Linked DNA regions of Tamandua tetradactyla. The protein of the gene in region 1 interacts with the protein of each later gene in a biochemical or structural test. Links are inferred from orthologs where the notes say so. Each region holds a gene or a part of one and is shown in the gene's direction. Other genes may lie near its edges. The genes, in order: MAP1LC3A and PHB2.

What was found.
Region 2: the proteins of MAP1LC3A (region 1) and PHB2 form a complex in vitro, tested with the Homo sapiens proteins (2 studies listed by BioGRID). The link is inferred for Tamandua tetradactyla from reciprocal best matches to the Homo sapiens genes MAP1LC3A and PHB2.

What each region holds. Positions count from the first base shown.
Region 1 is NC_135327.1:18,188,825-18,203,675, reverse strand, and holds MAP1LC3A (microtubule-associated protein 1 light chain 3 alpha), read left to right. Parts: upstream 1-8,345; 5' UTR 8,346-8,665; coding exon 8,666-8,705; intron 8,706-9,007; coding exon 9,008-9,063; intron 9,064-9,156; coding exon 9,157-9,263; intron 9,264-9,497; coding exon 9,498-9,660; 3' UTR 9,661-9,674; intron 9,675-9,921; 3' UTR 9,922-10,089; downstream 10,090-14,851. Other genes in the region: GPI-anchor transamidase component PIGU, read right to left, coding at 10,631-10,703. UniProt on the Homo sapiens protein: Ubiquitin-like modifier involved in formation of autophagosomal vacuoles (autophagosomes). While LC3s are involved in elongation of the phagophore membrane, the GABARAP/GATE-16 subfamily is essential for a later stage in autophagosome maturation.
Region 2 is NC_135333.1:69,258,012-69,273,805, reverse strand, and holds PHB2 (prohibitin-2), read left to right. Parts: upstream 1-4,516; 5' UTR 4,517-4,727; coding exon 4,728-4,854; intron 4,855-5,066; coding exon 5,067-5,151; intron 5,152-5,469; coding exon 5,470-5,549; intron 5,550-6,485; coding exon 6,486-6,670; intron 6,671-7,194; coding exon 7,195-7,324; intron 7,325-7,420; coding exon 7,421-7,524; intron 7,525-7,589; exon of another isoform or gene 7,590-7,856; intron 7,857-7,938; coding exon 7,939-8,016; intron 8,017-8,370; coding exon 8,371-8,451; 3' UTR 8,452-9,519; downstream 9,520-15,794. Other genes in the region: EMG1 (ribosomal RNA small subunit methyltransferase NEP1), read right to left, coding at 1-127, 203-261, 640-781, 894-995, 4,161-4,328; PTPN6 (tyrosine-protein phosphatase non-receptor type 6), read right to left, coding at 13,705-13,753, 13,978-14,088, 14,451-14,542, 14,643-14,794, 14,904-14,971.

The sequences.
Region 1 (14,851 bases):
TATGTACTCCGGCAGCTAGCAAACTGGAATAGTCAGGAAGGTGTTGTCAATCCCACAGTGCCAGGGCCAGGCTCAAACCTGGGTTTCATAACCTACGTTGCCAGGGAGACTTCTACCTCGGGATGTCCCATGTAGAGGGGATGAGGATGATTTAACTTGCAGAGTTGATGCCCAGTTTTAATTGGGTTGGTTGGCTGTCTTTTCCTTGTTGAGCCTAAATCATTTTATAGGGGCAAGGTGAGGGGTATTTAAATGAGGATTAAAACTTCAGTCTTAATCAAACTTCTTTGATTTGAAAATAGACACCTAGGCAGACTGCCAAAGGAGAGAGAGAAACTTACTTTTTACTATCAGTGCATGCAGGTGGAGTGGGGAGGGCAAGAAGAATTTTTCCTAACCTAGGGAAGAATTGAAGCTTGGTTTCACTTAGTTCTCTAACCAAGAAGCCATTAAAAACCAAGGTAGCTGCACTTTCAGTCTCAGAATCCCCATGGTCCACGTGTCTCTGTTTCTTTCTATATAATTGTTTTCACTTAGCAAAAAGATGGCCTTTGAGGGGCTACATCAAGAACCCATTTCAAGGCCAGAACAGTGTCTTGGATCCAAGTTCCAAGTCCCTGAAGAAAACATGATTGTTTGTAGTCACAACCCAACCGTGGTCGATTCAGCTGTGCTCACATGGATGAACATGGCTAAAGGGGCCACCCCAGCAGGTGGGGAAGTGGTTCTCGGAGAAGGGAATGTGGGCTGAACTGAAATTCCCAAAAGATCTACCAACCATTGGTATTTTGGTAACTTGAAAGTTTACAAAATGAGCCATTCTTCTTAGGCACTTTGCTATGGTTTGACTCTTAGTTTGCAAGCAACAGAGACAAACACAGATTACTTAATGAGAGCTTGCAGAAGCATAAGGGTAAAGAAAGCTTCTCAGCCTGGGCCCATGGAATTGGGTTATCATGTTAAATACAACTTAGCCCTAGTAGTTAGCCATTTAGGTGACAAATAGGAACTTCAGTAGTCAACCCTCAAAAGTGGGCTTTGGAGGCACCCCATTGTAGTAGGCTGAAAACTGTCCCCCAAAGATAGCAGGTCCCAATCCCTGGAATCTGTAATTATTTCAGGCTCATTTGAGTCTTTGCAGATGTGATTAAATCAAGGATTTTAAAAGATTATATTAAGGAAGACAACCATGGTATTTGTAATATACAGGACTCTGCCCTATATAGCTTTAGAGTCTGGGTTGCAGGATGTCCTAGCGCAACGCACACACTGTACGCATGCAAATTAAATGAATCCAGAGAGGCTCAGAAGGCAAAAATGTGGAGAAGAAATGTGGGTAGGAAGAAAGGTCAGCCTGAAGGGAGCAGGTGGCAGGGTTACCTGGTAACCTGACTGAATCCTTTGCTTGCACTTCAAGCTATTACTTTTTATTTCTGAGGTTTACAGAAATTTACATAGAAAGTACAGAGTTCCCATATACAACCCCTAGATGTAGTTTCCCCATTAACATTTTCTTTCAGTGTAGTACATTTGCTATAATTAATAACCAATGTTATGATTAACTCTAATAAAGATATAGTCCATACTTCACATTAGGGTTCACTCTTTGTATTGTATAATTTTTTTTCAAATTTTATTTTATTGTGATACCATTCAACAGTTTTCCATTTTAATCATCTTCAAATATAGAATTCAGTGGTATTGATTACATTCAAATTACTTGTGCTATTACCAACACCATCCATTACTAAAATTTCCATCACACCAAACAAAACTGTAGCAATTAAACAGGAACTTCTCAACCCACAGCCCCACCTCTGCTCCTGGTAACTTTTATTGGAATTTCTAACTATGAATTTACATATTCTACTTCATGAGCGATCATACAGTATTTGCTCTTTTGTGTCCAGTTTCTTCCACTCAATATGAGATCTTCAAAGTTATTCCATGTTGTAGCATGTAGCAGAGTTTCATTCCTTTTTATAGCAGAATAATATTTCATTGTATGGATATACCACATTTTGTTTATCCATTTATCTGTTAATGGACATGGGTTGTTTACATCTTTTGGCTATTGTGAGTAATGCTGCTATGAATATCGGTGTGCCTGCTTTCAATTCTTTGGTGTATATACATGGAAGTGGGATTGCTGGGTCATATGGTAATACTATGTTTAACTTTCTGAGGAACTGCCAAATTGCTTTTCACAGCAGCTGCACCATCTTACATTCTTCACTAATGATGCATGTGTGCTCCTATTTCTCCACATCTCACCAACACTATTGGGTTTTTTTTTTTTTTTTTTTTCAAATAGCCAGCCTGGTGGATATGAAACAGCACATTGTGGTTTTGACTTGCATTTCCCTGAAGGTTATGTATTAGGGTTCTACAGAGAAATATAACTGATGGGAAAATGATTTATGCACATATGTATATGTAAATGCTAATATTTATTATAGGAATGGACTCACATGACAGTGGGAATTAGCAACTCTGAATTCTGTAGGGAGGCTGCAAGTTGGGAACACCAATGAAGGCTTTGATGAATTCCCTAGAAGTTGGCCGGCTGAAGTAGATAGAAATTCTCCCAACCAATGGCATGATCAGTTCTCTCTGTAAGGCCTTCAACTGATTGGATGAGATTTCTCTCATTGTTGAAGGCAGTCGTCTTTGTTGACTGCAGATGTACTCAGCCATACATGAATCAACTGACTGACTGAAATTCACGGAATACTCTCACAGTAAGAATCAGGCCAGTGCTTGCTTGACCAAACAACTGGACACCATAACCTAGTCAAGTTGACACATGAACTTAACCACCAACAGACGTTGATGGTTATAGAGATTGCTGATTATTGGTCATTTGTATATTGTCTTTGGAGAAATGTCTATACAAGTCCTTAGCCCACTTTTTAATTGGGCTGTTTGTCTTTTTGTTGTTGAGTTGTAAAAGTTCCTCATATATTTTGGATAGTCTTTTTTTTTTTTTTTTTTATCTTTTTCCCCCAATATCTTATGGTGAAACTTTTCCAACATAGAGAAAAATGGAAAGAATCATACAATGGATAGCCATATATTCACCAGCTAGATCTGTGATTAACATTTTAATATAGTTGTTATATAGATAGGCACTGGGTCACCGGGAACTGAACCTGGATCTCTGGCATGCAGGCGAGAATTCTGCCACTGAGCCTTGTCACACCACCCTGGCTGTTCTAATACACTACAAACTAAAAAGAAATATATCTATGTAATGATTCAGTAGTCAGAATCCTTATTAAATTCTAATTTCTCTGTTACAACTCCTCCCTTTAACTTGATCATTCTCTGAATCTTCAGGGATATTTGGACAATGACCATTCTATCTTCTTCATGTTGAAAAGGGGTGTTGACATTATGCGGTAGGGGGATGCAACTGATTGACGTTCTGGGAGAGGCTGGTACGTCTAAGCTTCAGGGTTTATCTGGCATAGGACAACCTCTCAGTCTCTCATTTAGTTTTTTTTTTTTTCACAGAATTTTTTTTTATTAATAAAAAAATTAACTAACACAACATTTAGGAATCATTCCATTCTACATATACAATCAGTAATTCTTAATATCATCACATAGATGCATATTCATCATTTCTTAGTACATTTGCATCGATTTAGAAAAAGGAATAGAAAGACAACAGAAAAAGAAATAAAGTGATAATAGAGAGAAAAAAATTAAAAAAATAAAAAATAAAAAAACTATACCTCAGATGCAGCTTCATTCAGTGTTTTAACATAATTACATTACAATTAGGTAGTACTGTGCTGTCCATTTCTGAGTTCTTGTATCCAGTCTTGTTGCACAGTCTATATCCCTTCAGCTCCAGTTACCCATTTTCTTACCCTATTTCTATCTCCTGATGGTCTCTGTTACCAATGAAATATTCCAAGTTTATTCTCTAATGTTGGTTCACATCAGTGGGACCATACAGTATTTGTCCTTTAGTTTTTGGCTAGTCTCACTCAGCATAATGTTCTCTAGGTCCATCCATGTTATTACATGCTTCATAAGTTTATTCTGTCTTAAAGCTGCATAATATTCCATCGTATGTATATACCACAGTTTGTTTAGCCATTCGTCTGTTGATGGACATTTTGGCTGTTTCCACCTCTTTGCAATTGTAAATAATGCTGCTATAAACATTGGTGTGCAAATGTCCATTTATGTATTTGCCCTTAAGTCCTCTGAGTAGATACCTAGCAATGGTATTGCTGGGTCGTATGGCAATTCTATATTCAGCTTTTTGAGGAACCACCAAACTGCCTTCCACAGCGGTTGCACCATTTGACATTTCCACCAACAGTGGATAAGTGTGCCTCTTTCTCCGCATCCTCTCCAGCACTTGTCATTTTCTGTTTTGTTGATAATGGCCATTCTGGTGGGTGTGAGATGATATCTCATTGTGGTTTTGATTTGCATTTCTCTAATGGCCAGGGACATTGAGCATCTCTTCATGTGCTTTTTGGCCATTTGTATTTCCTCTTCTGGTAGGTGTCTGTTCAAGTCTTTTTCCCATTTTGTAATTGGGTTGGCTGTCTTTTTGTTGTTGAGTTGAACAATCTCTTTATAAATTTTGGATACTAGAACTTTATCTGATACGTCATTTCCAAATATTGTCTCCCATTGTGTAGGCTGTCTTTCTACTTTCTTGATGAAGTTCTTTGATGCACAAAAGTGTTTAATTTTGAGGAGCTCCCATTTATTTGTTTCTTTTTTCAGTGCGCTTGCTTTAGGTTTAAGGTCCATAAAACTGCCTCCAATTGTAAGATTCATAAGATATCTCCCTACATTTTCCTCTAACTGTTTTATGGTCTTAGACCTAATGTTTAGATCTTTGATCCATTTTGAGTTAACTTTTGTATAGGGTGTGAGAAATGGGTCCTCTTTCATTCTTTTGCATATGGATATCCAGTTCTCTAGGCACCATTTATTGAAGAGACTGTTCTGTCCCAGGTGAGTTGGCTTGACTGCCTTATCAAAGATCAAATGAAATGTCCATAGATGAGAGGGTCTATATCTGAGCACTCTATTCGATTCCATTGGTCGATATATCTATCTTTATGCCAATACCATGCTGTTTTGACCACTGTGGCTTCATAATATGCCTTAAAGTCAGGCAGCGTGAGACCTCCAGCTTCATTTTTTTTCCTCAGGATACTTTTAGCAATTTGGGGCATCCTGCCCTTCCAGATAAATTTGCTTATTGGTTTTTCTATTTCTGAAAAATAAGTTGTTGGGATTTTGATTGGTATTGCATTGAATCTGTAAATCAATTTAGGTAGGATTGACATCTTAACTATATTTAGTCTTCCTATCCATGAACATGGTATGCCCTTCCATCTATTTAGGTCTTCTGTGATTTCTTTTAACAGTTTTTTTTGTAGTTTTCTTTGTATAGGTCTCTTGTCTCTTTAGTTAAATTTATTCCTAGGTATTTTATCTTTTAGTTGCAATTGTAAATGGAATTCGTTTCTTGATTTCCCCCTCAGCTTGTTCATTGCTAGTGTATAGAAACACTACAGATTTTTGAATGTTGATCTTGCAACCTGCTACTTTGCTGTACTCATTTATTAGCTCTAGTAGTTTTGCTGTGGATTTTTCAGGGCTTTTGATGTATAGTATCATATCATCTGCAAACAGTGATAGTTTTACTTCTTCCTTTCCAATTTTGATGCCTTGTATTTCTTTTTCTTGTCTAATTGAAAAGCCACAAAATTTTTATGTATATATAAATACGTATAATTTCCTACTCACGAGTCTTGAAGCCCTCTACCTTTCTAGAGATATGATTTCCTTAAAAAGCAAATAAAATAGTGGGAGTCTCTTTCCATTTATTTTGGATAACCCATACGCACATACATATGCAGATCCACATCCACATACATATATATGAACTCATACTTTATTTAAATTAAATTTTTCATTGGTATGAAATTTCCATTCAGCTTCTACTATGTGCTGGACATTGTAGTGTCCTTAATTCCAAGAAGTTCAGATCTCATTTAGTTTTGACAAACTATATTTTTCTAGGAAATTGCCCATTTAATCTAAGGTTTAAATTATTGGCATAAAGTTGTTTATGGTATTTTTGTAATTTCTGCTGACTTGGGCCTCTTTGCACACTGTTTTATTGGTCTTTTAAAAGACCCAGATTTGATGCATTGATCCATACTAGTATATATTTTTCATTCATTAATTTCTACTCTTTAGTATGATATCCCTTCCACTTTGAGTTTATATTGAGTTTATACTGTTGCTCCTTTTAAAATGTCCTTAAAAGTGCTCATTTTCTAAATTCCTTAGGCTTATTGCTTACCTCCTACGTGCTGCTTTAGCCCCCCCCCAAGTTTTTATATGTAGCCTCATTTTTTGTTGGTTCTAAATATTTTAAATTTTTATATGATTTCATTTTTAAAGGGTTACAAGCATATTTAAATTTCCAACATTTGGGGCTTTCTTGGCTCTTCTCTGTGGTCATAAAATATGGTCTGTATGAAATTTGCTGTCTTTTTTTTTTTTTTACATTGGTGCCTAGAGGTTGGGTTATTTTTTGTAGATGTTCCATGTATGTTTTTTTCCTCCATGTATGTTTGAAAGTAACTTGTTGGCTTCAGGATTCTACGGAGGTCCACCGAGCAGGATTATTGTGTTAAAATCCTGTTTTGGTTGCTTTGTTTATCAGTTATTGAGAGAGGTCTGTTGAATACCTTCCAGTATGAGGAAGGATTTTACCAATTTCTCCTTGTTGTTCTGTCACTTTTGCTTCATATATATTTTAACCAGGAATATATAAGTTCAGAATTCTCTTCTTAGAGAACTGTTCTGCTCATTGTTTTGTGGTGACCCTCTTTTATCCCTAATACTGCTTTTTTGCCTTAAAGTCTATTTTGTCTGATTTTGCTATGACTACATCTTCTGGTTAGTTTTTCTCTGTACATCTTTTTAGTTGTGGTGTCTTTAAGGGCCTTCTTGAAACAGCACAGAATAGAATTTTATTTGTCTTGGCCAAATTGATCTTTTTTTTAAAAAAAAAAAAAAAAAGGTGAATTTAAGACATTTCTACCTGTGGTTTTGGGCTTTTAATTTACCATCCCTTTTTACTTTTTTTCATTTGTTTTCTTTGTCTATTATAATTTTAGGTACCCTTTACTACCCTTTTTCTCTTTTCTGCATTGTCAATAATACATTCCCCTTCTATTCTTTAGTCACTATTATTAATTGTTTAAAATACATACGTGACTTCACAAAGCCAGGCAAGTGTAACTCTAATTATACTCTGTCTTACATGCTGCTGTGTCTCATACAGCTTGTTTTGGTACCCCCAAGCCAATTATTGCCATTACTGTTCAATATTATGTGTTTTAGATCTACCTACACATTCACCAGTTTATTTGCTCACCATTTTTCCCCCCCCAACTAATTTCTTCCTCTTGAATTACATGGTCTTGTAACTGAAGTACATCCTTTACAGTTTATTTTAGCAATAGTGTTTTCTGTAAACGCTCTCAACATTATTTTGTCCCTGACCTTTTAATCATGAATTAACTACTGGCTGATAGTATTTTTGCACTCAGCAGTTTGAAGATACTATTACATTTTCTTCTGGCTTCTATAAATGCTGCTGAGAAGTGTGTCAGTCTAGTTTTATTTTTCAGGTAATCTAGCCTTTTTAATAGTTTTTAAGAGTTCATCTTTAGAGTTCTGCAGGTTTACTGCAAAGTGCTTAGCTACTGATTTTATTTTTATTTATCCTGCTTTGGATTTTCTGTGATGATCCTGAATTTCGGGAGCTCTACCGGCACTTCTCACATTGTCTTGTCTCCTTATTCTGATTGGATCTGTGAGTCTTTATCACTCTATCACTCATGTCACTTCTTATTTTCTACCTGTTTCTTCATGTAATTGCTTCTGATGTATTTCCAGTTTGGCGACTTTCTCTTCTGCTCTAACCTTTCTTACCCCTTCCACTGACTATTTTTCAATTCTAGAATGTCCTTTAGAGTCTTTTTGGTGTCTTGTACTTTCCGTATGCTTTAATGTCCCTCCCCCCCTCTGCTTTCCTCTAACCATTAAGACCACGAAGGTGAGGACTTGGGTTCCTTGATGTCATCCCTAGCATCCAGCAGTTCCCTAACAGGCGAGACCCTAGTACACGTTGGTCGAATGACTCGGTGAACCCGCGCGCTCTCTCAACCTTCCAGAACGTCACAGCCCAAGGTGGGTCAAGTACCCACCACCATCTCCCCTTCTTTCGGTCTCCGAAAAGGGCCTTGGGTAAATGCCCGCGCACGCCATGACGTCGTGCCTGTGACGCACCATGGGAGCGCGCCCTCGCCCCCACCCCCACGCCGCGTCTCTGTGCCGGGAATCCAGGCTCTCTGCGCCGTGACGCCACGAGACGGAACGGGCGGGTTTTGCGTCGGCCCAATGGGAGCAGCTCGCCGGCCTCCCCTTTAAGGAATGTTGTGACCTGACGTCACCGAGCGAGTTACCTCCCTAAGCCTCCGCCGCTGGGTTCAGCGCGAGCCCGAGAGCCCTTCAGCGTGAGGCGCGGCGCCCCTAAGCCGCACTCACATCCCCGCACCGCGCGCCCAGAGCCTTGGCCTGCGCGCCCCGCCAGGCCCGCGCGATGCCCTCCGACCGGCCTTTCAAGCAGCGGCGGAGCTTCGGTGAGGTCGGGCTGGTGATTTGTAAGCGTGGGATGGGGGGCGCAGGGGTAGGGGACGCGGACTGCCCTGGCCTGCCGCTGGTGACGTCAGCCCTGTGACATCAGGTTCCAGCTGGCCCCACGGGCAGGGTCCGGCTTGGGCAGGGGGTCTCCCTGCTTCCCCACCCCATCTGGTGCCAAGGGCTGCAGGGCTCAATAGCCCCGGGGAGTGGGGGCTTTGGCTGGTGAGGTGGGGCCGCCCCTCAAGGGCGGAGCCGCCGGCAGCACCTCTGCCCCGCCTCAAGTCCTGCTCTTCTTCTGCAGCGGACCGCTGTAAGGAGGTGCAGCAGATACGCGATCAGCACCCTAGCAAGATCCCAGTGAGTACCCCTGCCCCCTTCCTACCCCGTCCCTGGCCCGCCTTTGGCCCTCAGGCTCACATGTTCCCACTCTCCTGCCCACCCTACTCGCAGGTGATCATAGAACGCTACAAGGGTGAGAAGCAGCTGCCCGTCCTGGACAAGACAAAGTTCCTGGTCCCCGACCATGTCAACATGAGCGAGCTAGTCAAGATCATCCGGTGCGCGGGCAACTGCCCGGGAGGGGAACCTGGGTCTGGCTGGGGTTAAACAGAAGCCCAAATTCCCTCTCGAAGAGGCAAAAGTGGGACCCCTGTTCTGGGAGGCTGGGGAAGGTCAAGGTCTAGGGGTCAGTGCTGCCTCATGAGAGAACCTCTTAGAAGAGGCTGCGAGCGATTCTGGGGAAGGGGCCAGGGACTACCTGCATGCCCCTCACATTCACCTTCCTGCCTCAGGCGCCGCCTGCAGCTGAACCCTACGCAGGCCTTCTTCCTACTGGTAAACCAGCACAGCATGGTGAGCGTGTCCACGCCCATCGCAGACATCTATGAGCAGGAGAAAGATGAGGATGGCTTTCTCTACATGGTCTACGCCTCCCAAGAAACCTTCGGCTTCTGAGCCAGCAGCAGGGGGTGGGGGGGGCTGGCCTGGGAGTGGGAACCAGTCAGGGTCTGCCACTCCTGAACTAAGCTGCCTCTGGTGGGCTGGGCAGGGATGTGGACCCCAGTTGCGGGGGGGGGGGGGGGGGGGGGGGGCAGTCACCTAACTCTGCCCCTGCGTGGATCCTGCACCAGTCCCTTTAGGGTTCCCTCTTCAGTGCTGGCTCCAGCACCCCTGCTGTGTGGTTTGTCTATTTTTTTGTTTCTTTTTGTTTTTTAGGCCCCTGCCTGTCTGCCCATTTGCCCTTCAGCTACCCAAGGTGCTGCCCCCTGCCTGGATCTGCCCACCCCTGCAGGACTGGCCCCTGGTTCTCCCGACCTTGGCATGGTATATGGATCTGTGGTCACTGTCCCTCTGCAGAATAAAGATTGCTCAGGCCTGCCTGGCCCTCTGCCTCCGGCTGCTTGCTTAGGGGGTAGGGAAGGTTGATGGGAATGTCCTGTACCATGCTCAGCCTGCCAGGACTCACACTTGTATTCTGTGGCCTTAGGGTTTATTATGGACACTCATAAATCAGTATAGTATACCAGGGCAATAACTGTGGCCAGCCCACCTCTTCCAGTAGGGACTGTGGTCCCAGGACAGACATCATCTTAACAAAAAGAAAAAAAAAGCATTTATTGAGTAGCCACAACCTACCAGGCCTTTCCTACCTACTTCTTCCCCCTTTCCTGCCTGGGTGGGGGCACAATGGTGGGTGAAGCCACAAAGTAGGGGTCCAAGTGGAATTCTCCTGGTTCTTCCGCACAGGCCTGGTTGCCAGACATGATCCCCCTCCGATACCAGGAACCTGTGACCCTGGATTCAAATCCCACCTGCCTGAGGGCTTGGTCTTGCTCCTGCCCTTCTACTCCCTGAAGTCCATACAGCCCTGTGCCCAGCCAGGCCTACTTAAGCACAAGCATGGCCTCCGTGCCGTCCTTGGTGGTCAAGTAGAGACCATGTGTGAGGTAGTATTCCCGCCGCAGGAAGGCGTAGAAATAATCAGAGATGAGCAGGATCTGAAGGAAGAGAGAAGGTGTAAGAACTTGTTGGTATCTCCCCCTGAATCCTAAGTTCCTAAGGTGCTGGGGAGACAAGAAAGCCCCTGCCCAACCCTAGATCAGCAGCCTGCCCAGTGAACTCCCAACCTCAGGATCCACATTTGACCTTGCAAGGTCTTGCTGGCACCTCAGAAGTTGCCAACACTGTACGTGCTTCTCCCATTAGGTTATCCATCTCCATCCCAAACCCTGATCTCTGCATGCCAGGCTGGTGCATCTGTATCCAGCAGCCCCTTAACCTCAACTCTAGGGTGCCCCACAACCACCTCCATCCCAGCTGAACCCACATCAAACGTCCCTACTTTTCCCACCAGGTGCCCATACCCCCATCTTCCATCCTGAAGCCCAGGCCACAGACTCACCCAACGCTGCTCCCCTGCAAGAACTCCCCACAGCCAGTATGATACCAAGTCCTGTCAAGAGTACTCCCTAAACTCTGAGATCTACCTATTTCTGTTAAGTCCATAGCTACCACCTTGGACAAAGATACTGTCATCTTTAAGCAAGAGCAAAGCCTAGTCCCTGGGCTCCCTGTTCTCAAACCTCTTCCTACAGTCCCTTATCCCTGGCAACCAGGGAATGAGTGTTTCCCAGGTTAAAATCCTCCAAAGGCTTCCCATGGCTCCCAGGGTAAAGATCAAACTCCCTGGACCTCCAGGGCTTTACCCCTGCTGTGTGTGTGCCTCCCCACCCCTGGTGTTCCTCCTCCCTCTGCTCCTGTTATACTAGCCTCTTTCCTCCCATGCCAGGATCCTTGCTCTTTTCTTTGCTCTTCTCTTCCATCAAGGCAATGCCTGCTTGTTTCAGGAAGGATCATTTTCTCAGAGCAGTTCTACCTTACCCCCAGTTTAGGTCTGGGTCCCATTAACCACTATTTGCTAGCACAGACTCATCCAAGTTATACTTTGATCTCCATCTTTGACTGCTTGACAACTGTGTCTCCCCTCCACTGGACTGGGAGGGCCACAGGGCAGGGTCCCTGAGTGGTTCTGCTCACCAGAGTATCTGTACCCAGCTCGGTTTGCCTTTCCAATTCTAGGCCACAGTCAAAAGGGCCTTGGAAGCTCAGCCCACTATTCTCCTCACTGAGGCCCAAAGAGAAAGGGATTTTCCAAGGTCACTTGTACACTAGGCTTGAAGTCCTTTGGTCCCAACCATCCCAAGAAATTGAAGCTCTCTAGCGCCTGGAACAGGACAGGGAGGGGCCCAGTCCCAATGAAGACAAGAGAGCAGCTTGCTACTGTAGACAACCAACAGATCTCAAGTACCTTGTGGCAGCTCTGATATCAGCACCAACCACCTCATGGCTCAGAGACTGAGGCCCTTAGCTAGGATCTTAGAGTGAGTCAGAGCTTGCTCTGGGAAACTTCTTTTACTCACTTGAAGTTTATGAAAGTAGCTGAACATACTATGGACAGAAAGAATATGGAGGGGCATGGAAAAGGACTTTAGGGAGATATGCCCATCACCAACAACACGAGGCCTCAAGACAAGTACCTGCCATTCTACCACCACAGGAGACTGTCTGGAAGGCTACTGATCATGCCCATTTAACAGAAGAGATGAAACAGAGGCTCAAAGGGTTCAACAGCTGGCCTAAAACCACAACTAGAGAGCTGCACTAGTTCAGTTACTCCACGTGGCCATGGACTCTGCAAGGCCTGGGGCCCAATCAGCAGAACTCTGCCAAATGTCTCCTTAGAGCAGACAGAGCCCAAGAAGTCCCCTGGAGAGACAGTTATCACACCACAGGCTGACCCCTTTCTCACCCAGCACAGAGGAGCCTGAAGCAGTGCCTGAGGTTGTGGGACTGACCCCTGAACCAGGTCAGATGAGGGGTAGGTCCTATAGTCACAAATTGCAAGAAAAGAAAATGAGCCAACTCTGATGCCACACAAAAGTCCAATGTCATTAAAAAAAAGCCAGAAGTCAAAATATGTATTAGGTTGGACCATATGAAATTGCCATTTCTGCAAATAATGAATGTTTGGATATTGCAAATTTTATATGATTCAGTCTAATACAAAATGAGAAAATAATTAAGAAATACAAATACCAGAAGAAATAATGATAAAATCTTAGGGAGCTATTCTTTTTTCTTTTGAACCTTAACTTTGTAAATGTATTGTAAATGTCCATGTGTTACCTTGATAAAATAAAAATTCAAATAAAAACATTCAGCCAATAAGCAACTGAGTAAATAGATACATGGAGAGAAGAAATAAATCTTCCTTACAGAAGAATTCCAAATAATATACTTTTCCCTCCAGAAAGTAAAGCTTAATTCTTGCTATCCTCCACCCCAGACAGTGGGCTAGGCTAGACATAGTGACTCACTGCCACAGAATAGAGTGGGGCACGTGACTTTACAGTGAAGAAACCTGGCACCTACCACCTTAACCAAGGGATGAAGGAGGTTTACCTCAATGGAGATACCAAGTAGCTAGCATGGATCCCTGAGATGACTGTGCGGTCTTCTTTCTAGAGACCCATAACCCCAGTCTAATCATGAGAAAAGAGACAGACATCCCCAGTTGGGGGACTTTCTAGAGGATTCATGGCTAGCAGTCCTCAAGACTGTCAAGGTTATAAAAAATAAAGAGATGGTCCCAGAGCAGAGGCATCTGGGGAGATGGGATGACTAATATAATGTGGTACCTTGGATTGGATATTGGAACAGAAAGAGGAAATTAGTGGAAAAACTGTTGAAATCTAAATCAAATCTGGAAATTTAGTTAATAAGTCATACACCAAAAACAGTTTCTTAGTTTTGAGCAGCATACCATGGCAATGTAAGAGGTTAACAATGAGGGAACTGGGGGTGGGCATGTAGGAATCCTATCTTTGAAATTTACCTGTTAATGTAAAGCTATTCCAGAAGTTCACTAAAAAGAAAGCATTGAACTATTGTTATATGCAACATCATGGACCTCAAGAACAGTTTGAATGAAAGAAGGCTTCAGCAAATGTTAAGATTTGTGATTTTCACTGCATGTAACTTTTACATAAGAAAATGGAAAGAAATACTGAACTCTAGTTAATAAGACACATTATACGTATAATATTTAGCAGGCACTGTCCTAATATCTACAATTTAATTTGAAATACATTAAAAAATATAGTAGATGGAGTTATAATCAAACAAGTCTAGTAAAATGTTAATGACAGAATCTAGGTGATAAGTATATAGGTGCTCAATGTAAAATTTTTCAACTCTTCTGTGTTTAAAAATTGTCATAATAAAGTGCCAAAGGCAGGGGGCGGAGCCCCGGGTACCTGCTTGGGCTATCCGGAACAGGTCAACACCCCTGAGGGACCCCTGGCCCCAGAGAGGGGCATCTCCCTGGACACCAAACCAGCTCACAGGGAAGCTTTTTCAGTGAGAAACCTTGAACTGGTCACGGGCTGGCTGAGACCACCTCTACTGACTTTGGGACTTTTCATTTTGGCTGTGAGGAAAAAGGATTTCCCACAGACCCTAGGATTCCGCCAACATAGTAGCTGCAGACCCAGAGCCCCTTTGCCCATTCTAGGTAGGGGGAGGTTGGTAAGGGGCACTGGAAATGGCATGAGTAAGTGGTGCTGTCAGACCCTGTGTTAAGTCACTTCCACTTCCCTAAGCTTTGTTTCTTCACTTAGTCCTTGCCAATGTGGAATATATCTGCCTTGGAATATATCTGCTTTCTGCCCTTCAGGGACTAAAGAATAGCCCATTCTTTGAACCTGCTCTCACAGAATGCCACCAAGTCCCTCTGCCTCTCTCCTCCCATCAATCACCAAGGTGTGTCAATTTCTCCTCCCAAACTTCCTGACTCAGTCCCCTCTCCTCCCTGCCATACCGGCTCTCCCTGGGAGGCCTGTCCCATCCTCTCTACCTGCTGAGGTATACACATACATACACACAAACACACACACACACACACACACACACACTGAGCTCTTCATTTGTCTGCTCAGAGCCTCCAATGTTCCACCTTTCCCCCACTCCGCCTACACCCCCAACAGTCCTGCAAACACTGCATTCACTGCCACACCTGGGGCCTCTGCTCACGTTCTGGCCACACTCAGAGTCCTACTGCAAGCCAGACCATGCTGGAGCCTCCTAA
Region 2 (15,794 bases), on another chromosome or scaffold:
CTACAAAAACAACAGGGTCATTGCTTGGCACCAACTCTCGCACATCACTGACATCAGGCATGGAAAAAGAAGTGCCAATTTTCATACATCCAACTGGAAAGTGATCTGACACTGGATTCTTAATTACCTAAAGAAAAAGAAAAGTGAATCCCAGAAACATCCTCAAAAACTTATTTGCAACCTGTAGGTTTCAATACCTCACCTTCAAGAGTTTCTGGGGGCCATCAGCTGCTCGAACACTGAGTTTATGTAAAAGCTGAACTGAAGGGGAAGGAAAAAAAAAGAGAATTCAGAGACAGGTGCAGACCCCACTTCATCTGTCCAGTAATCTAACAGAAAAATCCACAGAGAAAGTAGGCTTAGTGTGTCCTCTGCATCCAGACTGCACTCCAAAACTTTAAGAACAAGCAGTTGTCAAACATATGATGACTAGTACAGCCAATGAGTTCAGACTTTCCCTTTTGCACTCTCCATGCAGGAGAGTAATACCTGCATGCACATGAAAAGGTAAGAGGAGACCTTCTACTGATAACAAGCATGTTGCTTTCCCCCAGCTTAACACTTCCATATTTAATTTTTCCCTTTACCTATTCCTCCCTTCTTCACTACTGCTAAATTTTAAGTCCTAAGGATTCTCACCCATGAGGCCACAAAAGCGGTCAAAGGTTCTGGGAATTCGAGTCTGGGGGTTCACTTCAATCAGCACATTCTTCTGAGTGTGAATGTAAACCTGTAGCAAGCCGGCTCGGTTCAGGGGACTGTCCATCAGCATCAGCAAACTCTGAGGGAGGCAAAAACCACGACTGATGAGTTAAAGCTAGTGAGAAGCGACATGCAGCTGCTTTACCTCATACAAAGGTCCAAGGGGTCATGAGTGCTGTTCCTGAAGTTACCTGGTGGGCTATATCTGGTCTTACTTCCCCAGGGTCCCGTCCATTCTTCAACAGCATAGACTTATGTTTGTCACAGTTGAGTAACTCATATGTCTTCCCTACCTGAAGAACAGTGAAAATGAGGAGAGAGCAACATTAACTTCTATTACTTTGTCCAGTGGTCCCTGAACCAGCTTCATAGTCATCATCTGAGAACTTGTTTGAAAGGCAAATTCTCAGGGCCATACCAGACCTACTAAATCAGAAACCATGGGAGCAAGGCCCAGCAAGTCATTCAGGGATCACTGTGTGGTCGCATTTACGCCCGAGTAAATTATTTTAGAGGAAAAGGGAAGATGGGTATAAATGGTGATTTCACATGATCTAAATTGTATTTAAAAACCTGTGATTACTAGGCAAGGCCAATGAGGGATTCTGGAACCGGGTAGGAGTTAGGTTAGTGAGCAAAGGTAAATGCCTAGGTTTATCACAGGGGGCAATAATGAGTATACTGGGTAAATAGTACCCTCCGTTTGCTTATATAAAACAAACACTTGTTTGTTCTAAGTGAGGAGCTGCAAATCTGAACAGGAGGCAATTTAATGACATCTCTAAAATAAAAGAAGAGGGGTTATTCCCAGTTTTAAGACTGATATAAGCAAAGGTATGGATGGGGTCAAGAAAAACGTGCATAAAAGAAAAGACTGAAAAAGTAGGAACTTTTGTGCTAAAGGGCACTAATCAAATGTGATTACATATGAAAGTGCTTTGTGAACCACAGAATTTGAGAAGCAGAAGGATGGGAAATGAATTTTTTTTTATCATTTCTCAAAATATATCACTCCAGAAAAAAATATATAAAGAAATACCTTACCCCTCACCCCTCCCTCTCATTGACCACTAGTACTTCCCTCTACCCAATTTATTTTAACATTTGTTCCCCCTATTACTTATTTTTAATCCACATTTTTTACTTATCTGTCCATATAGTAGATAAAAGGAGCATCAGACACAAGGTTTTCACAATCACACAGTCACTTTGCAAAAGCTATATCATATAATTTAAAGCCACATTTGCCTATTAAAGAAATAGTATTTTTATGTACAATCACTGACTCAACAAGAACTTAAAGAGCACCTACTATGTGCCATAACTGTACGAGGTAATGGTGATACAAGAAAGAATTTTTTTTTTTAATTTCATTCTCTGCCCTCACAGAGGCTTAAATGGAAGAGGCAAAAGTAAACAATCACATGAATATTTAACTCAAATTGTGATAAGCATTATAAAGGAAAAGAAAACTTAAAGGATAAGAACAGAAGGAACTGATTTATACCAGGGATGAGAGGAGTCACTTCTCTGAGGTAGCAGTTAACCTTAATTGAATAGATAGCATAATAAATATTCAATTAAGTATTGAATGAACAAATAAGTAGATATTAGGCAAAGAGCTGGGTAAGGGGCGCTTCCAGTTAAAGAACAACATGTGCAATGGCCTTAGGTTATAAGAGAACTTAGTGCTTCCAAAGAACTTTTAAAAAACCAATGAGTACGTACTAGGGTAGTTCAGTGGTAGAATTCTCACCTGCCACGTGTGGGAGACCTGGATTCTATTCCTGGCCCATGCACTTCCCCACCCCCATCCCCTAAAAATTCAACAAATAGTGCTGCAATAACGGGATAGTCACATGAAAGAAATGTGACCCCCACCATCCAACATACTCATTTACAAAAAAAGGCCAATGAGACTGAGTATAAGTATACAGGAAAAAATGGAAAGAGCAGACCCAGATGAGGCTGGGAGAAGCAGGAGGTGAAAGAACGAGGAAGGAAAAAGGCAACAGCACAGTCCTGTAAAAATTTCAACTAGCTATGAATTCTTGAAGCAGCACTAATGACAACCTGACCAAAATTCTTTCAGAACATGACCGAGGGATTTTAATTTGCCCATAACCTGTCAACTTCTTAGTAAGGAACCTGGAATAAAAAATATTTAATTCTTAGTATGACCAAGTGCCAGATATTATTTTAAGCTTTACACATAATAACTTCTTTAATCCTCACGGCAACCCTAAGAAGTTAAGTGATTTGCCAAAGGTCACACAACTAGTGAGCCGTAGAGAACTGATCTGAACCCAGTCTAGTCTAGTGGAAATGCGGCATTCTCAAGCCCTGTGTGTGCTGCCACAGAAGGCATGCTTTCCACAATTGTAAATTACACAATTATGAAGGATAACTGACATGACAAGTGTCAAAATCAACATTCAGAGTTAACAGGCCGAAAAGATAGCAAACAATGGAGTGAGTGATGAATATAAGAGCTTATATTGAGGCTGGAAATATCAATTACAAAAGAGAATGAGAGACTTGATAAGTTAATCATTTAAACAGCAGGTTTTCCAGATAGAAAGCTTAATAAAATGCCATAATTGCCAGGGAAGGATAGAAAATATCACACCTTAGATAACTAAAAATATACTACTTTTAAAGCACTTCCATCACATGTGGCTGTAGCTCATAAATAAGGCATTAACCCCATTTTACGAAGAAACAATTTCTTAAGAGCAAACACTTTAAAAAGTGTTAGAAACAAGATTAAAACCCATCTCTGACTTCTAAACCAGTGCTATTTCTTCTGGACCTATTCACTGAAAAAGTTCAACTGCAAAGTCTGCAAGAAAAAAGAGTCAAGGGAATAAGAAATGTACAGTTTTTAAGAGAGGAAATTGCTGGACTTGCTACACTTGGAAAAAGAAACAAATGATTTATATATTCTGGATATTAAACCCTTATGCAATATTTTCTCCCATTCAAAGAAAAAAAACAAATGATACGTGAAATTTTGTTGTAACGGTATTAAAAGATAATCTGGGCCAAGCAGTGTTTCGCCGTAGATATTAATATAGAGGCACTTTTAACAAATTAAAACATTAAGTCCATACAAATAAAAGTATGCAAGAGTTCCACAAGAGTAAAGTAACTACCTTTTTCGTCTGCCCAGCAATTTGTCTTGGGATATGGAACAACGGAATTCCCCTCCCCTAAATGACTTTATATCACAGAACCCCAGTAAAACAACTGGAAGTAAGGAGGTGTGAGCTTTAATGGAATTCTAGGGGGCAAAAAAAAAAAAGACTACTGCCAACCCATTATGTTAGTACAAAGGACAGCAACTAGACCACCCTTTCCCCCAAAAAATGTTTCACCCCACTCTGCTCTCTCCAAGCACGCTGAGCCCCTCACCCTCAACTCTGGGAATCCCATCCTATCGACGTGCCCCAAGCTACCTTGACTGTCTCCAGACTGGCTCCTTCCAGCACCACAATGAGCCTACGGCCTCCGATCTTGCTTCCCAACCCAAGGCGAGGCTTCTTGGGCGCCGCAGCATCCCAGTCTTGTTCTTGCTCCCCACCGCGACGCTGGCGAGCTTGGAAACCACCACTGGGCGCAGCCATCTTGTAACCGGGCGGAAATTACGCTAAATCTATTTCTCAGAACCTCGTGCGGTATCGGACCTCGCCCTAACTGCAAACTTCCTTCCGGCTTCCATTTTGGAAGTGGGCGCTTCGAAATGGCGATTGTTTGCTTTCTAGCGTTACCGAAGCCGCCCAGGGAGGGCAACGTTCCAGGAGAAGGCGGGAACTTCCGTTTGTCCGGAATCCTATGCGCGAAGTTCGGGTCCGCCACTGGGCAAGGGGAGGGTTTAGAAGGGAGTGCACTTCCGGTGCCCTTTCTCCCGCGAGCTCTGCAGTCCACAGACCCTCGTGTGAAGGGTACAGTTTTAAAGTGGGGCGGGGTACAAGTGGGCCGGCACCTCCGTCTACCCGCTGGTGCCGCCGGCTTCGCGAGCCGACATGGCCCAGAACTTGAAGGACTTAGCGGGCCGCCTGCCCGCCGGGCCCCGGGGTATGGGCACAGCACTGAAGCTGCTGCTGGGGGCCGGTGCGGTGGCTTACGGCGTCCGCGAGTCGGTGTTCACTGGTGAGCTTTCTCCGCCCCCTCGCTGAGTCCGACCCGTTCCCTTCCCTAGCTCCCGAAAACTCCTAACCCCTCCCTACCCAGACCTCCTACCCTGTTCCGCTGGGTCTCCGCGCTCACCTAGCCCCCTCACCCTCACCCTCACCCCACCCCACCAGAACCTACCACGTATACTGAACTGCTGTCTGGCTTGATGGCCACCCCTCTCCCCACAGTGGAAGGCGGGCACAGAGCCATCTTTTTTAATCGAATCGGCGGCGTGCAGCAAGACACCATCCTGGCCGAGGGCCTTCACTTCAGGTAAGGGCAGGCAAAGGCCGACTGGCCCTAGCTCTTCACCCCGACGTCGACTTCCAGTGGATATAGTAGGATTTGCAACAGAACTCAGCGCTGCACTTTGCTCACCTCACCCCTGCCCCCAGGACAGCGGGTGCTGCCTAAAACTTCAACAGCACATAAACTGTTGTTCCGCAAAGGGAGAAGAGAATCTCTCCAGGTCCGTGGCCGATAAGGGGAGGAGGTGGTCAAGAGACATGTGGTAAGGGAAGCCAGTCAAAGCTAATGAGACACAGGCGTCTGATACTTGTTCTCTTCTGATCCTTGTTCTCTCCACGCCAGGATCCCCTGGTTCCAGTACCCCATCATCTATGATATTCGGGCCAGACCCCGAAAAATCTCTTCCCCCACAGGCTCCAAAGGTAGGTCTGGGCTCTTGGAAGTCATGTGGCCAACGGGATACCCAAAGTAAACTAGGGAGCCTGGAAAGAGACCCTAAGAGAAATATGGTAGCATCTAGTCTCTCAGGCTTTGGTTTCCATATCTGCAAAAGAGGGATCATAAAAGTTACCTAACCTCCTGGGGTTAAAGCCAATGTAAACACCTACCACAGTGTTTTATGCCTGTCCTTCCCCCTCTCTCCCAGTATACTTCAGTGAGGGCTAGGATTTTGTCTTAATCAGTGCCTAGGTCAAAGCCGTTTTAGTCTTCTAACCACTTGACTTATTAATTATACCCAGTAGAATGCCCTTTTTTCTGGTTTAAGTCTTTTGTCTTTCTTCAGTGCTGAACTTGTTCCAGATTTCAGGCTATACCCAAAAGTTGTGCCTTTGAGAGTCCCCAAACTCTTCCTCATCCTCACCCCTCACTCTCATACTCTCATACACACTGAAACATGTAGCTCACCACTAACCTGTGATGTATTTATTTGTACATTTTTAGCACATGTCATTTATTCATTCTTTAAACCCTGGGCAATGGGGATTAAAGATTCACAAACACACTCCTTGTCCCATGAGGACAAGGAATATAGTCCAGTAAAGGAAATAGAATATTGTGCTACAGCATGATAAAGTCTATGATAGAGGTTACAAAAAGTACAGTGCAAAAATCGGGGTCAGCTTTACCAGTGAAGGGGGTATGGATAAAGAAAACGTCACAGTTGATGAAGATGCATTTGTCCTGAGCCTTGTTAAATTGTTCTTATCAACTCCCCTAGGGGAGTTCCAATCTGTACAGCACTGTAATAGGCAAAGAGGGAACCAAATGGAGGAGAAAATTCTTGGGGCACCGTGTTTGGTTACGGGTCCACATGAGGCCCCATGACCTTGACCAACCACGGCTGACTTCTCTATCAGACCTGCAGATGGTGAATATCTCCCTGCGAGTGCTATCTCGACCCAACGCCCTGGAGCTTCCCAGCATGTACCAGCGTCTTGGGCTAGACTATGAGGAGCGAGTATTGCCATCCATTGTCAATGAAGTGCTCAAGAGTGTGGTGGCCAAGTTCAATGCTTCACAGCTGATCACCCAGCGGGCCCAGGTCTGACTGTCCGTAATGTGTCACAGTTCCCTCCTAAGCCCAGTGCGTTGGGACCAGATGTCAGGGAAGGCAGCTTATTAGAAAAGGGTTGTGAGCCTTGTTTCATTTTCACCTAAAGGCTGTTCTCATGGCTGCTGTGGGAAACAAAGAGAGGTAAGCCTGAAAGTCTAGGGTTGGAAGACTAGGAGATAACACAAAATCTACGTTTTTCCTACACTCCTTTTGGCAAAGAAGCTTATAATTACAGGTTTGTCCAACAGAAAGTTGAGTGACTCTTGGTGTCTTGTAGAGAGCACAGAATTAGGAGTCAGTTCAGTCATAGTATCCCTATGAACCTGTCTCACCTATCTAATGAAACCTGGACCAAGTCCTTTCCAACTTATATCTTCTAGTGAGGAAATAAAAAAGGGTCAGTGAGTTTCCTGACATTTTCAGGAGATATGAAGATGGTCACAGCAACACACATTCCTTTCCTAGTTCTCCAATATTCAAATTCCCCCCTTTCCCCTCATCTGTGCCCCCAGGTGTCCCTCTTGATCCGACGGGAGCTGACAGAGCGGGCCAAAGACTTTAGCCTCATCCTGGATGATGTAGCCATCACAGAGCTGAGCTTTAGCCGAGAGTACACGGCTGCTGTAGAAGCCAAACAAGTGGGTGAGTTACAAGGGCAAAGCAGGAGGAGGGATGGCTCTGTGGCTCCATGTATAGAATTCCTGACACCCAACATCTGACTTCTGGCTCCTACCACAGCCCAGCAGGAGGCCCAGCGGGCCCAGTTCTTGGTAGAAAAGGCAAAGCAGGAACAGCGGCAGAAGATCGTGCAGGCCGAGGGTGAGGCTGAGGCTGCCAAAATGATATCCTACTCAGAGATGTCAACCTAGCCCCTGGAACTCCTGCTTTCCCCATCTGCCCTCACAGGCTGGCTGATGACACTAAGGCGAATGTGACTTCATGCTCTCTGACCTTGGTTCCTTAGGGGTTGGGGGTTAGGGATGGGGTCTGAGATCTTAGTGGGGGTATCTGAGACTTAGCTCCCCACTGTAAGGCCAGATCAATAGCACTATTGGCCTTGACCTCCATTTCTGCTGCTGTCCTCAGTTCCCGGCAGCTGCCTGCAGAGGGGCCTACAGTAGGAACCAAAGTAGGGACAGGCACGAGCTATCTGAACACAACCTTGGATCTGACAGCCTAGAGGTGAGGGGTAGTGAGGATTTGGGCCAGAGATTGAGACCTGACCTTATATGAACCCTTAACTCGGCCCTGCTCACCTTGGAGAAGCATTGAGCAAGAACCCAGGCTACATCAAATTGCGCAAGATCCGGGCAGCCCAGAACATCTCCAAGACGGTGAGTCTGAGTGCTCAGCATATCTCACGGGACTGCTTGGCCATAAAATTGTTTTCAGTTGAAGCACATTGAAGCAAGCAAAATTTGAATCTTGCTTGTTCGAGTTTCTGCTCAAACTGGCTTCTCTGACCCTTCTTTCCGTCAAAAATGATTGCTCTGGGCTCCCTTGCCACTTGTGCTTATGCCTTGTTTAGGGAACTGGCAAGTCGTAATTGAACAGCTCACTGCCCTGGATCCTTGAATGAGGGCAGAAACCATGCCTACTCCTATGAGGAATGATTATTGAATATCGAGGGTAGGAATCAAAGTCCTCTTTGCTTAATGCAAGCATCTGACTCTCTGTCTCCCCTATAGATCGCCACATCACAGAACCGTATCTATCTCACTGCCGACAACCTTGTGCTGAACCTACAGGATGAAAGTTTCACCCGGTGAGAGACATGACCCACAATGGGGTGCCACAGAGAAGTTGGGATTTGAATCTGGTCACTTGGATTCTAGAGCCTGCTCTGCTATCAGCTGCTTGTGTAACCCTCAAAAGACACTACTTACGAATCAAAATTTTTTCAGAAAAGGGGTAGTTGACAATTTCTGCCTTGCATCTCATGAGATTGATTTGTATCAAAAAACGCCGTAATTGTAAAGGTTTGTCCAATTGAAAAATAGCTCTCACTTGGGAGCTCTCACCTTGCTGCTCTGGAATATGGAAGGATGTTAAGAAAGGAAAGATGAGTAGCAGAAAGAACCATCTCTTTCATGAGCCTGAGATTTCTGGTTTCCAACATTTTGTCTTTTTTTCTCAAGTGGTCAGGAAGGTTTAGAGCTGGGTGAGGGTAGAGGAGGGAGGGGCCTGAAGCTGTCAAATCACATGTGCATTTCTCTTCTCTTTCTGTGTTTCCTCTTTATCTGGTGATCTGGACTCCACAGGGGAAGGTAAGTTGGTGTATCCATGTTTCTGTGGGGCCTACGCCCCATCTTTTCCAGGTCCCTGCCTCCCTCTTCCCCATCCCACTAGCCATTTCTCACCCTCTCCACACCCCCGTCCCCACATACACACCCTCAGTCGGGGGGGGGGGGGGGGGGCAGTTAAAGGAGTGGCCTGGGATTCTCTGTCTCTCACATGTAAGTCCCCTAATAAGACTATAAATCTGGCCCTTTGTTTCCACAGTGACAGCCTCATCAAGGGTAAGAAATGAGCCTGGTGACCAAGAATTCTACCCCAAGAGAGGACATGGATCTGCTTCTACCCTGGTTTTCAAGGAGCTAGTTAGGAGTCTCGTGCCCCATCTCCAGTATCATGTGATGGCCCCCTATGCACTAGTCCTCCCACCCCTCTTGGATTAACCAAGACTGACCCTTTATGAGGGGAGTGGCTTTCCTCCTCCCTGTGTGGCCAGGGGTGTTGGGGACAGTGTGTGGTTTTTCCATCATTTCCTACAGTGTTGGGAGGAGATAACCGTCATCCCAGGAATTCTCAATAAATTTTTATTACTAAAGCCTAAATCAAGATCTCACGTGTCTGAGCTGCTACCCACACATGTGCACACGTTTCTGGGTGTTTCTTCGTACCTGCCAGCAGAGGGCGCAACAAATCTTGCCAAGGCAGTTAGGGAAGACCAAGCCTGGGCCCTGCTGCTCTGCCCTCCCAGTCCAGCGGAGTGGGAACTGCGGACCTCGGGCCCTGAGGCCCAGCTGCACTCCACCCACCTCTCATTTCTATCACTTCACCCTGTTTACATATCAACATCTCTTTTTTTTGAGGTTGGAGCAGCTGTGGCTTTGCTGAGCCAGACCAAAAAAATTGATGATCCCAATGAGAGCTGCTTCCTTGGTAACAGTTCCTGTAGCTATGGGAGAGACTTAAGTGTTCAAAGCCCAGTGGATCATATTGCCTGCTGGGCTACCTGTGCTTCCAGTTTCTTAGTCACCTGTCAGGAGCTCTGTGTGTAACAGGCCTCTACCTGTGGAGGTGGGCTTGTCACTCCCACAGAACAGGTATCGGTGTTTCGTCTTTAGATGAGCATCTCCATATCCTCCTCGAGGCACCCCACAACGAACCTCAAGCACCAGAAAAAAATGAAGTCCCCACTTTTATCTTCAGTTCCCATTTCCCTCATCCTTATGAAGAGACAAGGAATATTTGGAACTATAAAACAAAAATATGTAGAGAGAAAATGCACAGTTGGGGAGGGTTGGAGGGGCTAGGTTAGTCTTCAGCCTCTTAGGGTTTGAAGAAAGTAGATTAATTAACTTTCCCCTACTCTGGCAGCTCCCACTCCCAGCAGCTGAGCTGGAAGCCCTAAAATGAAAGCAACAATTAGACAAAAGACACGTCAAGTGAGCCGGTTTGATCTCTCACCAGTCCCTATTCACACTTTATTTCTTTCACATTCCCAAGGCAGAAAGAGATGGAGGTGCCTAGGGGACAGTATCATTTCCAAATAATGCTATGGCTCTAGAGGCAGCCATTTTGTTTCCTCCCATTGTTCCCTCTTTCCTAGTGATTCACCCCCATCCGGAGGGGTAAAGGTCAGAGGTTGTTGGTCAGGAGGCCTCCACGGGTCTTCAGGGTGCCCTGAAGGTCATTGTCGAGGGAGCCAGCCCGGGGGCCATCTTTACCAGACAGTGTTAGGAGCTTCACTATTAGACCATCCAACACTGTACTGGAAGATGGACCCAGAGTCGGCCAACGTGGAAATCCGGGCTAGAACTGACCAGTCGCCATAGGGACCCTGGCCGCAGGCTAGGTGAGGCCTCGAGAGAGTGCACAAGCCAACTGCAAGCTCCAGGTCCGCTGGGGGTTCTGGATCCACCAGATGACAAATCAAACTCCACTGGGGGAAGGCCTTGGGCCATTGTGTTCCTCCAGCGGGCAGCTGGCCAATGGTGCTACCTCTTCTGCAGCACCCTCTGCTCAAGATAAAGAGGCCTCCAGGTTTTGTGGGGAGGGGAGGAGAAGACAGCGCAGCCGGCTGGGGGCCTGAAGGCCTGAGGCGATGGGTGCCGTTGACATGGGGCAAGGGCCTCCATCATTACCCGGCAGTATTAGAGACTCCCAACCAGCACCCAAACACTGCTGGGTAAGACGGGGTCCCCCACCCAGCCTGCCCACCTCCAGGCCAGGAAGCCCCAGGCCCAGAGTCCCTGCGGAGAGGCTGCAGAAGCCTAGCTCCCCTCCCCCATCAAGCGCGTCCCTGGGGACACTTCCGGGTGAGCCCTGCTGCCCGCCCCACCCTGGGGAGCTGATCGGCTGAGGTCCAGAAGGGACTTCAGCAGCCCCCACACATCAGCTCTCTGCCTTGGAGCCCCTTACCCCGCCACCCCTACTGCGATCTATCCCTGCCCCCAACACACACTGATTCACCCGCCCCATCCTGCCTTTGCAGACCGTAGCACAGCCCCTGGACCCTTCTCCCGGTGGCTTTTACCTGTCACTGGCCCACCTGCACCCCAGAGGGTGGGTGCTGAGGAGAGAAAGGGGAGTCAAGGCCCAGGATTCTACGGCCTAGAAGCCGCCCTGGCCTCCGCTCTTCCTCCTTCCTTCTCTGCCTGCCAGGCAGCCCTGGGTTCCTCACCTGGGCTCCGCCCGCTGCCCTGCCTGCCGCCCTACGCACAGGTGTGTCCTCCTGCCATAGGCTGCCCCCCCCACCGCCACCGCCTTAACCCCTTCCCTCCCAGCACCAGCCACAGGCACCTCTCTGAGGCCTGACTTACCCCACTAGGCCTCCCGCCCTTCCCCGTGGACTCTTCTCGCCTACTGGCCTCCTCGGCCCCCACCCAGGGTGTAAGGGGCAATCTTTGGGGCCCCCTACCTGTCTCCCCAGCCTTTCCCCACAACTGCTCCTGCCCCAAGAGGCAGCCCGGTCCCTGAGGACTCAGACCTCCACCCACAGCCAGAACTACAATCTGAGGTCAGCTCAGACCCCTGTCCCCGCCCCACGCCCCACGTCTGAGCATCGCCTGAGGGAAGGCAGCGGAGACGGTGGGGGGGAACGAAGGCACCTCCAGGCCTGTGGAGGGCAGGCAGGTCCCCAGGAAAGCGCGTCTTCCTCCTCTACCGTGTGGGGGTGCTTGCCCCTGCTGGGATCTGTGGTCTCCCCTTCCCAGAACCACGACCAGGCCTGACCTGACCGGGAGCATCAGCACTGACCCTTCCAAATCACCTTCACGCTTTCAGTGCCTCTCCTCCAGCCCCTCCAGCCAGGGGGAGGGATGACCCAGCTCTGTTTTCTGTAGGGACCCAGGTTCCCTAACCCACCTGGCCTCTCTCCCTCCCTCTGGGGAGTCCAAGTCCCAGCCCAGGGCCCCAGGGCGGGTAGAGGGGGTGGGACCTCGCTTTCCCTTTGTGCAGCTGGGGCTGGGATCCAAGGGCGTTGCCTCGGGAGAGGGGCCCCAAGGCCCACAGGTGAGCGCTCCACCCACCCACCCCCTGGAGGGCCAGTGCGCCCTTGAGCTATTGTGTTGTCTCTCTGCTCTTTGTTTCTGTCCTGATACCCGCCCGCCCGCCCAATCTGTCTTTATTTCAAGTGTTCCTGGACTGTTTCTGGGTCTGTCTCCCTCCAGTCTCCTAAGTGAAGGGAGGGGAGGAGCTGCCTTGCTCGCCATGGCGTCTCCAGCCCAATCCAGTGCCCATAACCCAGTGGACTCCATGGAGCATTTGCTGAATGAATGAAATCAAGCCTCTGTCCCTTCCTCCCCACTTCTGAGACTTCCCAGGAGGGAACCAGTCCTTGCTGAGCTGTGACTGACTCAGATCTAACTCCCCCAGGACATTAGCATCAAGGCAAAAAAAGCAATCGCTGGTGGTCCACCCCTCCACTCTGGACACAGTGGAGGGAGGTGGAAACAGTAAACTACCCTGCTCTCCCACCCCCAAAAAACTGTCTTTGGGCAGCCAGCCAAGCAACCTGGGGCGCAAGTAGGAGTGCCAGGAAGGAGCTGCCACAGGAGCCTCGGGGCAGTTGGGCCCAGGTGAGGGGAGCCCGGGGCTGGCCTTGGGGCTGTGCTACCGGCCCTCATTCCTCTCAGTCCTTGGATCTGGGCATCGTCCTCGGGGGCTGTGGTTGTATAACCACTGGCAAGACCCAGCTATAGGGGTGGGGGCCCTGGGACCAGACTGCCCGGGTTAAAACCTCAGCTTCCCTGCTCCATAGTCCTGTGACTTCGAGCAAGATATTGGAGCTCTCTGTGCCTCCGTTTTCCCCACTGTAAAATGGGAATGATAAAGATAGCTGGATTGAATGAACATGTCTCTAAAACAGTGCCTGGCACACGGCAGGCACATAATAAATTTGCTATCATCATCCCTCTTAGCTTTATGGTCTCTACAACCACCCAGTGAGGGGAGCAAGGCTTTGGCAATCACCCCTATGTAACTGGCCCTAGCTAATTCAGCAAAGTCCAGAACCAGGGCTGCTGGAAGACCCAGCTTTTAGACATCCACACACACCTCTTCCCTACCCCCTACCCACACCCCGGTGCCCAACACTGCAGGCTGAGGCCCATTTCTGCCCCCTCCTGCCCAGGTACACAGAGTTAGAGGCACACGCAGTGACCCTAGGGGCTTTATTTACAAGAGAGAAGGGCTTGGCCCTGTCTGGGCCTTGCTGGGTTATATACAGTGTCAGGGAGAGGGAGTGGAGACATGTCCATTTAAATTACAATAGAACAGGGACAGGGGTCCTAGGTTCAGACTGGGGGTCCGTCGGCTGGAGGCCTGCAGGGGTCAGGGCTGAGGCTGCAGAGAGAAGGGCAAACAGGAGTAAGGAGGGTGGTCAGACCTGGGGAAAGCAGCAAGAGCAGGGCTGGGAGCAGCTGGAGAGGCCAGGGGAGGCTGTAGCCACCCAACCCCCGACACAGGGCTGAGCACCGGGGCCAGGGGACACAGGGGCAGGCAGGGAGGCGTGGTTCTGAGCAGAGGGCACCATTACCACGGCCTCCTCGGGAGGGTGCCCAGCTCACTTCCTCTTGAGGGATCCCTTGCTCTTCTCCTTGTCTGCTGACCTCTGCTTCTTTACCTTTTCCTCCTTCTTGTTCTTACTCTGCAGGTTCTCGTACACTTCCTCCTTGTGTCTGCGGATGGGTGGGCAGGGTAGGCAGTTGGCTCGCGTCAGGAAACACAGCACTCTCTGGGACCACCCCATCTCACAGATGAGCACACTGAGGCCAGGAATGCAGAATGACCCAGTCGCTGTCCCAATGCTAGATCAGTAGCTCCCTGAAGCAGAGGCTGCACCCCATCCGTCAGCACACAGCCAGTACCCAGCACTGCCCACACGCAGCGGGCACTCAGGAAACACTTGTGGACAGAAGTAGCAAACCAGGCTTGAGCTTGAACCCACGCCTCCCCAACTCTAGCACTTTGGAAGCCCAGGCTGGAGAGGGGAGAGACGCAGGGGCTGGGGGGGGCCAACAGGCAGGCAGGGGCCACTCACTTGGAGGAGGTGCGGGCGGCCTTGGCATGGGCGTTCTTCATGGCGGGGGGGTAGGTGATGTTCCCGTACTCTGACTCCTGGCCCTTCTGGGACTGTGGGCAGAGGAGTGGGGGGAGGGGGGTGGTCCCAGCCTGGCCAGGTGAGGCCCACTCCCCCCGCTAGCCCCACCCAGCCCTGCCTTCCTGCACACACCTGCATGACCTCCAGCTTCTTCTTGGTGGTTTCAATGAACTGGGCGATGGCCACGTAGATGAACTTATACTGTGCCTCCGTCTGCACCATGCCCGAGCGCTGGGCCCGCACCATCTGGATGGTCTTCTGGATGTCGATGTCACAGTCCAGCCCTGAGCAGCGGTGACAGCCCGACATCAGGGCGCAGGCCGAGGCAGGCACCCGCCGCCCACCAGCAGCCCAGGGCCCTGCGCCCGCCGCCCGGAGCACGGGCAAGCTCACCCTTAGTGGAGATGCTCTCCATGAGCATGTCGATGACAATGATGGTGCCCGTGCGCCCGATGCCTGCGCTGGGGAGAGAAGGGACAGGGCCACAGAGGCCATCATCCCCTCATGGGGGGGACACGGGGCTCGGCCCCAGCCACTGGGCGTGGCATAAAGCAACTAGACAGGGCCACCCATGAGCGAGGGGAAGGAGCTGCTAACGCTGCACCTGGGCTCTCGACCTCAGCCAGGGGATCTGTGTGGAAGCGCCTGGTTCTGAAGGGCCCCACCGTGTGCCTCCTTCCCAGCACGACCCATCCCTTTACCTCCTGCTTCCTGTCTGGCCCCCCAGCAAAGCTTTAGGCCCTCCAGTCCACAGAGCGCCCCCTGCTGCCCCAGGCCCTCCCCTGGCCCCATCTCTCACATCCTTGTCCCAAGCGAAGCCTTCCCTCCCTCCGCCCTGCCGAAGTCATATTTGCAGCCTCTTTCTGCAGGGCTCCATTTCCCTTTTTCCTTAAACCGTGATGGCAGGGAAAGGGCAGCCCTGGGGACTGTGGGGGAGGGGTGGGCACTGGGGTGAGGAGAGTTAGGGGAGCGCAGTGGGAAGCCTCCCTCCTCCTCCCACCCCTCTACCTCCCTTTGGGCAAACAGACCCCACGCAGGAAGCTCAGGACCCTGTGCCCCAGTCCCGCCCCCCCGGCTGGTTGGTCAGGCTGGTGCCCTGAGTCGCGATGGCTAATTTCAAACCCAGATTGTCAAAAATAACCCCCCCCTCACCCACTTCCTTCCTGTCATGTCTAAATAAAGGCCATGGGGCTTTCAAGAAGCGTGTGAGTGTGTCTGTGTGTGGGGTAGGGGGTGGGTACCAGTAGCAGGGCGGTTCTCAGGGACGCGCCTGCCCCAGGAAGG